2 linked regions of the Ovis aries genome follow. The protein of the gene in region 1 purifies or fractionates together with the protein of each later gene. This does not show direct contact. Links are inferred from orthologs where the notes say so. Each region holds a gene or a part of one and is shown on either strand. Other genes may lie near its edges.

The links.
Region 2: the proteins of STAT3 (region 1) and PIAS3 purify together in Homo sapiens (affinity purification with western blotting; 5 studies listed by BioGRID). This does not show direct contact. The link is inferred for Ovis aries from reciprocal best matches to the Homo sapiens genes STAT3 and PIAS3.

The regions. Positions count from the first base shown.
Region 1 is NC_056064.1:42,220,237-42,224,513, reverse strand, and holds the start of STAT3 (signal transducer and activator of transcription 3), read left to right. Parts: upstream 1-1,476; 5' UTR 1,477-1,651; intron 1,652-4,277. UniProt on the Homo sapiens protein: Signal transducer and transcription activator that mediates cellular responses to interleukins, KITLG/SCF, LEP and other growth factors. Once activated, recruits coactivators, such as NCOA1 or MED1, to the promoter region of the target gene.
Region 2 is NC_056054.1:99,195,478-99,199,784, reverse strand, and holds the start of PIAS3 (E3 SUMO-protein ligase PIAS3), read left to right. Parts: upstream 1-1,505; 5' UTR 1,506-1,603; coding exon 1,604-1,627; intron 1,628-3,490; exon of another isoform or gene 3,491-3,538; coding exon 3,539-3,956; intron 3,957-4,114; coding exon 4,115-4,199; intron 4,200-4,307. UniProt on the Homo sapiens protein: Functions as an E3-type small ubiquitin-like modifier (SUMO) ligase, stabilizing the interaction between UBE2I and the substrate, and as a SUMO-tethering factor.

The sequences.
Region 1 (4,277 bases):
TCTATGGGAGAGCAATAGGAAACTTGCAGCTCCACCAGGAAAGACCCTACCATTTACCCTATAGATGCTCTCACCTCTTTATTTGCATATATGGTGGTCCAAAGGTCTAAACTAGGGAACCAGAAGAATTTGTGAGTAAAATGTCATGCTGTGTATTTCTGGGACTAGAATCCATAGTCTCCAACAAACTCTCAGATTCCCCAAAGGTTAGGAGTCATTGATTTTCCCACCAGAAATTAAAGAATAGCTATCCTTGGCGAGAAGGACTGGTGGGGGAAGGAGGCATATTTTCAGTTTTAATTTTCACGTTTTCTGAACTGTCTGAATTTTCTAACCACAAACATGTGTTAGTTTCATTGAAAAAGCTGTCATCAAGGTTTATTTGGGTGTTGAGATAACAGGCCCTTTTTAGATTTCATCTTTAATACCTCTTTGTACTAAACAAACACTAATAGCTGTTATTTTTAAAAACCCTAATAGTCTTACACACACACACACACACTATAATGCAAAGAACATCTATTATGTGAGGTGAAATGTCTACATTTCCTATAAACTACTGGTTAATGCAGTAAAACTTTCATTCGAAGTAGATGAGGCGAAAAAGATAAAGGCACGCAATTTCAAGTATTTCAACTCAGACGCATAAAAACAATGTGTATACGTGTCATTCTTCATTGGTACTGTCTCCTTATTCCCTTGAACCTGCCAATGTGCGAGCCGTTGGCCTTTGATGCTTGAAGCGACGGAACGAAGGGCAGGGTTAAATCCACTACCTTCTCCCCACGCACTCTAGTAATTACTCTATTTCCACGTCATGTTTCCGGGTGTGTGTGTCCCGACTCACGCAGAAACTGAAGTTCAAAGCAGGCGGGAGTAACCCATGTTCTTTTTGCTGTCCCCAGAAACCCATTTCGGGCGTTGGGCCCCTAAAGGATCTGGCGACACCTGAGGACTGTCTAACTGGCTGATTCCCACGTGGTAAGTGCCCCCAACCTTGCCCCCACGTGGTGCCAAGGGCCGGGAAGAGGGAGAGCAGGCAGAAGGGAGCCGCATCAGGGGCATTTAAAGTGTCTTGACGTCACGCACTGCCAGGAACTCAGCTGAGTTTTCAGCAGGACATTCCAGTCATCTTCCCTCCCTCCCCCCGGGCTCCTCTGCCCAGGGCCTTGGTTCTTCCCCAGTTGTTGCGGAGGGAGGAGCCCTAAGAGTCGGAACAGCCAGAACAGGGGCGTTCCCAGCCTTGTATTGGCTCCGCCCTTCCACCCAGAGGCTCTCTTCATTGGCCAGTGGGTGGGGCTTCGGATGTAGAGTCTGCTCAGCAGGGCTTCTGGGTGGCCGAGAAAACTGGTCATGTTATGAATTATACATGAGCGGCGTGCCTAGGCCAAGCGGGGGCTGGGCGGGGATTGGCTGGAGGGGCTGTAATTCAGCGGTTTCCGGAGCTGAGGCGGCGTAGACAGGGAGGGGGAGCCTGGGGTTCCGACGTCGCCGCGGAGGGAGAGAGCCCGAATCGGATCCCTGACGAGCACCCCAGCTCCGCGCTCTCCCCGCTTCTGCCAAGGGAGACTCCGCGGCCTGAGGGAGCCCCGCGGCCCGCACCCCGGCGCAAGCGCAGCCCCGGCCAGTCGGGCCTCAGCCCGAGCAGCAGGTGAAGGGGGTTTAAGGGTGGGGCTGCCCCCCGACGGCCTCCAGGCCTGGGCATCCCGGGGGAGGAGGGGCGCGCTGGGAGCTTCTGGGGTGTTTGGGGGAGTAGTGAATGGAAACTTCAGTGGGGTCAGGGGGATACGAGGAGACACGGAGAGTCGCTGTGAAGGGACAGTTCCCCGGGATGACAGGAGCCGACCTCTGAAGGGACGGGGTGCGCTGGAAGGAAGTTTCGTTCTTTGGAAAAAGGGGAGACGCAGAGGAAGAGAGAGAATGGACTGGAGGGGGAGGACCGTGGGGCGAGGGTACTCTAGGGTTGGGGGGCAGGAGCGAGGGACAGCCCCCCGACTTCCTGCTCCCTGGGGCTCTGGGGACGTTCCGGCCACGGGAGCCACTGTCACGCCGGCGGAGATCACGGAGTGGGGGGGGGGGGGTTGGCAAGCGCCTCCTCCCCGCCCCTCGGCGGGCCCGGCGTCTCCCGGCTGAGCCACTTCCTCCGCCTTGCCCTGTTCCTGCTCCTTTAGGAGCCAGCTGTGCCCCCCTGGAGGAGGTAGGAATAGGTGTCTTCCCTTTACAGCCTTGCGGGCTGTTTGGTTATGGGTAGGATTATTGCATAAGATTCAAGTTTCCTGTAGGGAAATTGACAGCCTTGTACTCTTTCTAAACTCCCCCCAGCCTTTTTCTGGGGTAAAGTCGTGTTTCCCTTCTCCCTCTTCCAAAAAAAATCCAAATAAAACCCCCATCAACCCAGCTCTAAAGAGAAATAAACCTTTTTCCTCCTTGACATTGTTCTTTTATAACCACCTGGTAAACTTGGCCAGAAGATAAATAATTGAGCCCTTGCGTTTACTGGATTGTGGTGTTGCTTAATTGCATAGAACAGAATGAACCAATAGAGAGTGGGAGTTTTCTGTCTCAGAGCCAAGATCTTGGGTAAATGCGGAGAGAGAAACAAAGACAGGCTGGCCTTGGCAAAGCCATGTGTGCAAACTTTACCTGTGTTTGGGGGTGTGGTTGCACTTCAGTTAGCTTAATTCAAACCGTCACCTGAGTGGTTTTTTCCATGTTTAGTCCACATCTTTCTGTGTTATATCAAGTGGATGCATGATATTGACACACTTATTCTTATTAAAAATGTATATAACATGTCCTTGCTGGTTGGTTAAATAAATAAAGGGCATATTTATTCTGTGTGTGGGTTGTAATTTTTTGGTTGGCTGAGCTAATACAGCATTGGTTTGAAGAAATCAGAACTGTAAATTATCTCAATCTTTTATATGTGGATTTAGACTGTTATGACTTGATTTAGCCAATTTTATGTTTTATATCAAATATGTCTGTACTCCCTGAGTCAGCACATTTATTTCCTTATTACATGTGCCAGGCTGAGCAATGGCACCCCACTCCAGCACTCTTGCCTGGAAAATCCCATGGATGGAGGAGCCTGGTGGGCCGCAGTCCATGGGGTCGCTAAGAGTCGGACTCGACTGAGCGACTTCACTTTTACTTTTCATTTTCATGCATTGGAGAAGGAAATGGCAAGCCACTCCAATGTTCTTGCCTGGAGAATCCCAGCAACGGGGGAGCCTCGTGGGCTGCCGTCTGTGGGGTCGCACAGAGTCGGACATGACTGAAGCGACTTAGCAGCAGCAGGCTGAGCTACTAGTAAAATTTTTGCAGTGACATTTGCACAGTGGGATGGAGGAAAGAAGTCTTTAATACCAAAAAAAAAAAGAAATTGTAGATGCTAGAGGCTTTTTTTGTGTGTATTTATTATTTATTTATGGCTGGATAGGGTCTTAGTTGTGGTGTGTGGGTTCAGTTGCCCTGAGGCATGTGGGATCTTAGTTCCCCCACCAGGGATTGAACCTGACTCCCCTGTATTGAATGCGCAGATTTCTTAACCACTGGACCACAAGGGGAGTCCCTGAGGCTTGACCTTAATCTCTATATTTGCTAGCATATCTACCACAAAGAACCACTAGAAAATTCATAAATCTTCTATCTTTATATGTAGTTCTTTTGGGAAGAATAGCCATCTAGAAATATCCATAGTTATGACTTGACCCACAAAGGGTAGATAGTTCATGTAACCTTAACTCTGCTTTGAAGATAAGGAAATTGAGGTGTAAGGAACGAGACACTTGCCCAGGCAGCAACATACCATAGTGATGGAGCTTGTACCTTCTGTATATTTTGTTTGCTTTTGACTATCTATGCTTAAGTATTAGGTCTTAATTTAGAGTGACTGTAGGCCCTACTGGGAAAAGTGTCAGTGAAATTCTAACACATACCTAGACCATCAATATCCTATAAGACTCCAAGGGAGATATTTAAAATAAACAGGTGAGTCCCGTTTAGGTTATTACAGAATATTGAGCAGCATTACCTGTGCTATACAAAAGGTCCTTTTTGATTATCTCTTGTAAAATAGCAGTGTGTACATGTCAGTCCCAAACTCTCACTCTCCTTCCCCTCAGGTAACTTTTTAGTCTGCATAATTTACCATCAGAATTTAGCTATTTGCTAATGGAAAGAGAGATTTACTGAGGCAGGTTTGTAGGTGAAGGACAGTCATGACCTAAATGTCATTTAAACCAAAGTGTCTTGTGGCTTAATCAGTGGTCATT
Region 2 (4,307 bases), on another chromosome or scaffold:
CTTTCTGTATGCCAGTTATTGGTTTAACCATCTGGCTGCTGCTAGGCTGGAAGCTCCTGCAAGGATTTTATGTCCTCACCACCTAACAATCTTTGAACAGTAATCAAATATTTATTGAACAAATGACATTATCACTTAGGTCCCAACCAAGTGCAAAATGCTGTGTATTTTTCCAATACCTAGTTTGGGTAAACTGCTCTCAAGTTGGTATTTTCAAGGGAACTGGGTCTATGGCTTTGGAGGAAGGAGAGTAGGCAGTTCAGAGAGAGGCAGAAAAATTGCCCTTTCTCGGTGAGAAAACCTCCCCTCCATTCACCTTCAACTACATTAAAGCTCTTAAGTCTCTGGTGACAGTCTGTGTATTTGAGGTAGGGAGTAGGGGACCACAGGTGGAAGTAGGGTTTAGGTACACTTCGGATTTTAGCAGTTCATGTTTTCTTTCCCGTAGGGAGAGACTCACTGTAAGTAGCTACCTCTTTAAGCGATCGGATTTCTGGTCCACACCGTCTTATTTGCAGCTTACTTCCACTCAAAACACATAGAAGGGTTTGCTTGCAGGGAGTCAGAACAGTAGTGAGAATGGTGAAATCAAAGAACGTCTCTCCCATCCACTCCCTAGAGGAGTTAATTTCTCCTCCGCAGGCTCAGAGTCCCGCCCTCTCCCGTCTCAGACTCCGCCCCTCCCCACTTCTCCGCTGTCCTGGCGGGCTCATCCAGGAGGGGGCGGCCCCAACCCTAGCGCTGGGCCGGGCCGAGCTCCCGCCCGGGCGGAGCTGCGGCTGCAACGTCCAGCTGCCGGACCGACCTCCAGCCGTGCAGACCTTGGGAGCAGCGCCGGGCCCCCTCCCCCCCATCTCCCCAGCCCACCCTCTGAGCGTCCCGAGTCCCCTCCCCGCTCCCTGCAACTGTGCTGGTAAGTCCCACTCTCGGCACGAAACTTTTTTGCTGGCGAATTTGAGCCCTGCCGCGGGACCATGAAATACAATGTAACCGGGGCGGGGGGAGGGGGTGAAGAATTGAGAATAGCCGTCTTGAAATAAACTATTTACGACTCCTTGGCGTCCCTAAAATGGATCAGGTCTCACCCATTTCCCGAGTTGGTGGAACTCTTGAATTTGGCTGGTTAAACTTGTAGATAGGGAAACGAGGGGGTTTGCTCCAACTTCGCTTCCCCCTCCCCCATTTCTCTGAGATTAAGCCCTTCTCGAGACTTTTCCCTCCATATCCCAAATATCTTTGGCTTTCTCAAAGCTCATCCCTTCCCGACTCCGGCGTGGCAAGGCCCCCCTCCCCCATGTACTTCGGGTTCACCTCCTCTCCCATGCCACCGGGGACCCCGCGATCCTTCGGGCGGCACACTCCCTCCGGGTCTACGGGTCTGGCACCGCGGCCAAAGACGTGCAGCGGCTGGGTCCGGCTGTGGAGGGAGGGGCTGAGGCCGGGGTTCGTCCGAAACCCGGCGGGCGGGGCCGGGAAGGGGAGGTGTAGGGGGCCGGACGGGGCGGAGCAGGCGGCATTTGCGGCCGGCGCCGGGGTGGAGAGTTGTGCGCCGGTCCCTGGGCCTGAGCTCCGGCTCGGGCTCGGGCGCCTGCGATGTCTCAAGATGGCGGAGCTGGGCGAATTAAAGGTACCGGCCCCCTCCCCCATCCCCATCTGGACTGAGCCGGGCTGTACGCCGAGTCTGGGAAGCGACCGAGACTGGGTGCTGAGGGCTCGGGTGGGGGCTGGAGACGTGGTGGGGACTGGCTGCTGGGGATGGAGAGAAGTGGCTGTGGCGAGGAAGGGGCTGCGTGGGGCTCCGGGGGCGGGGCCGCGGGGCAGATGTAGGGGTGGGGCCGAGGGGAATTGCAGCTGTTGGGGGCCGAGGCTCAGGGGGCGGGGACGCGGGGTAGAAGTCGAATTTGGTAGTAGGGGCAGATGTAGGGGTAGGGCGGGGAGGAAAAGCTGCTGTGGAGGCACAGCGGGCGAGTCGATCGAGGCCTAGAGAGGTGACAGTAGGGGGCAGGTGATGGGAATGGGGCTGGGGGGCCGATTACCGGGAGGCTCCTGGGGGAAAGGCGCTGAGAGGATAGTGACTTTGGGGCTGCTGTTGGGATCTGAGCCTTGGGAAGTACCAGTAGGTGGCTGAGATCTAGGGGGCGGGGCTGTACGGGGATAGATCGAAGGGGTGGGGCAGAAGCATCCTGGAGGCTGAGAGGAAGGTCCTGCCTTAGTGAGTCGGTATCTCTGGGCAGAGAGAGAGAAGTGTTAGACTATGGGATTGAAAAGAATTTCTTGACAAAGCTAATGGAGAAATAAAGACAGGACCGAGGAGATAAGGATGAGGGTAAAGGTAGAGGAGCAAGTTTTTAATTATATTCCTCAAAAGGGGCCCAAAGCCATAATGCCTCCATAAGAATTGCAGATGATTAGCAAGATTGGCCCGTGGCAGGGTCTCCTGGAGATTCACAGAAGTGAGTTCTTTAAGCGGAGAGCTTACCACTACCAGAATCTTGAGGATAAATAACCATCTTGCAGAACCTTTAAAAACCATGGGGTTCACCCCCTTGCTCCTGGCTTTATTCTGCCTTTTGAAATGGAACCAGAGTCATGGGAAGGCCTGAGGTCTAGTCACTGGTTCCAGTTTCCTAGGAGAGCATGCAGTTCTGCAGTCTGGCTCAGGGGCTGATCACCTCCCTATTCTTCCAGGGGCTCTCTTTAGAGCTTTCCCCTCGTTTCTTCCACCCCTGTGGAGGAAGGGAAGAATCACTTACTTTCTCTGGGTAGGAGAGAAGCAGGTTATTAGTTCCTGGCAGATGGAGTAAACAGGTAAACAGGAAGGATACCTGGACTCCACAATTCACTGTTAACCCCTCACCCCAAGTTTTACTCCTGTTTCTCTCCCAGAAAAAATAGGACTGAGGGATGAGTAGTTATGTAAATAACACCAAGGAAAGGTTTGGGAAGTTATAAGCATTGAACCCTGACCTGGCCACAAAAGCTTGGGGAAAATAGCTGAGGTAGATTGAGGGGTGGAAAGGAGTTGATTTTGAGGCACAGTCCTCCAGCCACCTGGCCCCTTTCTTCTCTGTGGGGCTGTCTGGCCTGAATCCTCTTCTCCCCTTCCTCCCCGTCTCCTGTCCCCTTCCCAGGAGGCTAGGATGGGTCTGAGAGTCTGCGAAAGAGCAGGAGAGGAGATAAGCAGCTTAAAGGAGAGTCCAGGCTCAAGGCAGGGTGGTGGGAGGAGGCTGTAGTGGACTCAGAGGTGTGCTGTAGGGTGGCAGGCACCCTGCGCCCACATGGTCAGCTGATAAGATGGGGAGACAGGATTGTTCAAGCCTGGGGGGGTAGTGGAGAGGTGACCTGAGGGTTGCTAGGATGGGAGCTAGATGTCCTTTTGGCTAGGTGGGCAGTTTGGCAGCAATCCACTGGCTGCAAAGCATCTTTCAGATCAGTGCTGGAGGGAAAGCACATTCCCCACCTAATAGCTCAGCCCTGGTGTCTTTGGCAGGACAGGCCTGTGCAAGGTAGGATCCTCAAGCTTCTCTGATCTCCACAGCACATGGTGATGAGTTTCCGGGTGTCTGAGCTCCAGGTGCTCCTCGGCTTTGCTGGCCGGAACAAGAGCGGACGGAAGCACGAGCTGCTGGCCAAGGCCCTACACCTCCTCAAGTCCAGCTGTGCCCCCAGCGTCCAGATGAAGATCAAAGAGCTTTACCGCCGACGCTTTCCCCGCAAGACCCTGGGGCCCTCTGATCTTTCTCTGCTCTCCTTGCCCCCTGGAACCCCTCCTGTAGGCTCTCCTGGTCCTCTGGCTCCCATTCCCCCGGCCCTCTTGGCCCCTGGCACCCTGCTGGGCCCCAAGCGTGAAGTGGACATGCACCCTCCTCTGCCCCAGCCTGTGCACCCTGACGTTACCATGAAACCATTGCCCTTCTATGAAATCTACGGGGAGCTCATCCGGCCCACCACCCTAGGTATGGCTCTTTGTGGTCCCTGGGTCTTCCTGGCCTCCCTGCTTCTTCCTCAAGCCTTTCTTAGGCTTTGTCCTGTGGGCTCAGCAAACTGGAATAGGGGCCACTTCTGTGGCCCCCTGGGCACGGGCTTGGGAATAACTGCCCCTTTGTGTCCTCAGCATCCACTTCTAGCCAGCGGTTTGAGGAAGCGCACTTCACCTTTGCCCTCACCCCCCAGCAAGTGCAGCAGATTCTTACTTCCAGGTTTGTCTCTTTGAGTCCTCCTGCCTCATCCTTGGGTGGTTACCCTGAGACTCCGCTCTCTGACTTTCTTCTTTTCTTTTTTGCCCTCCTTCTCACCATTCTCCTGCA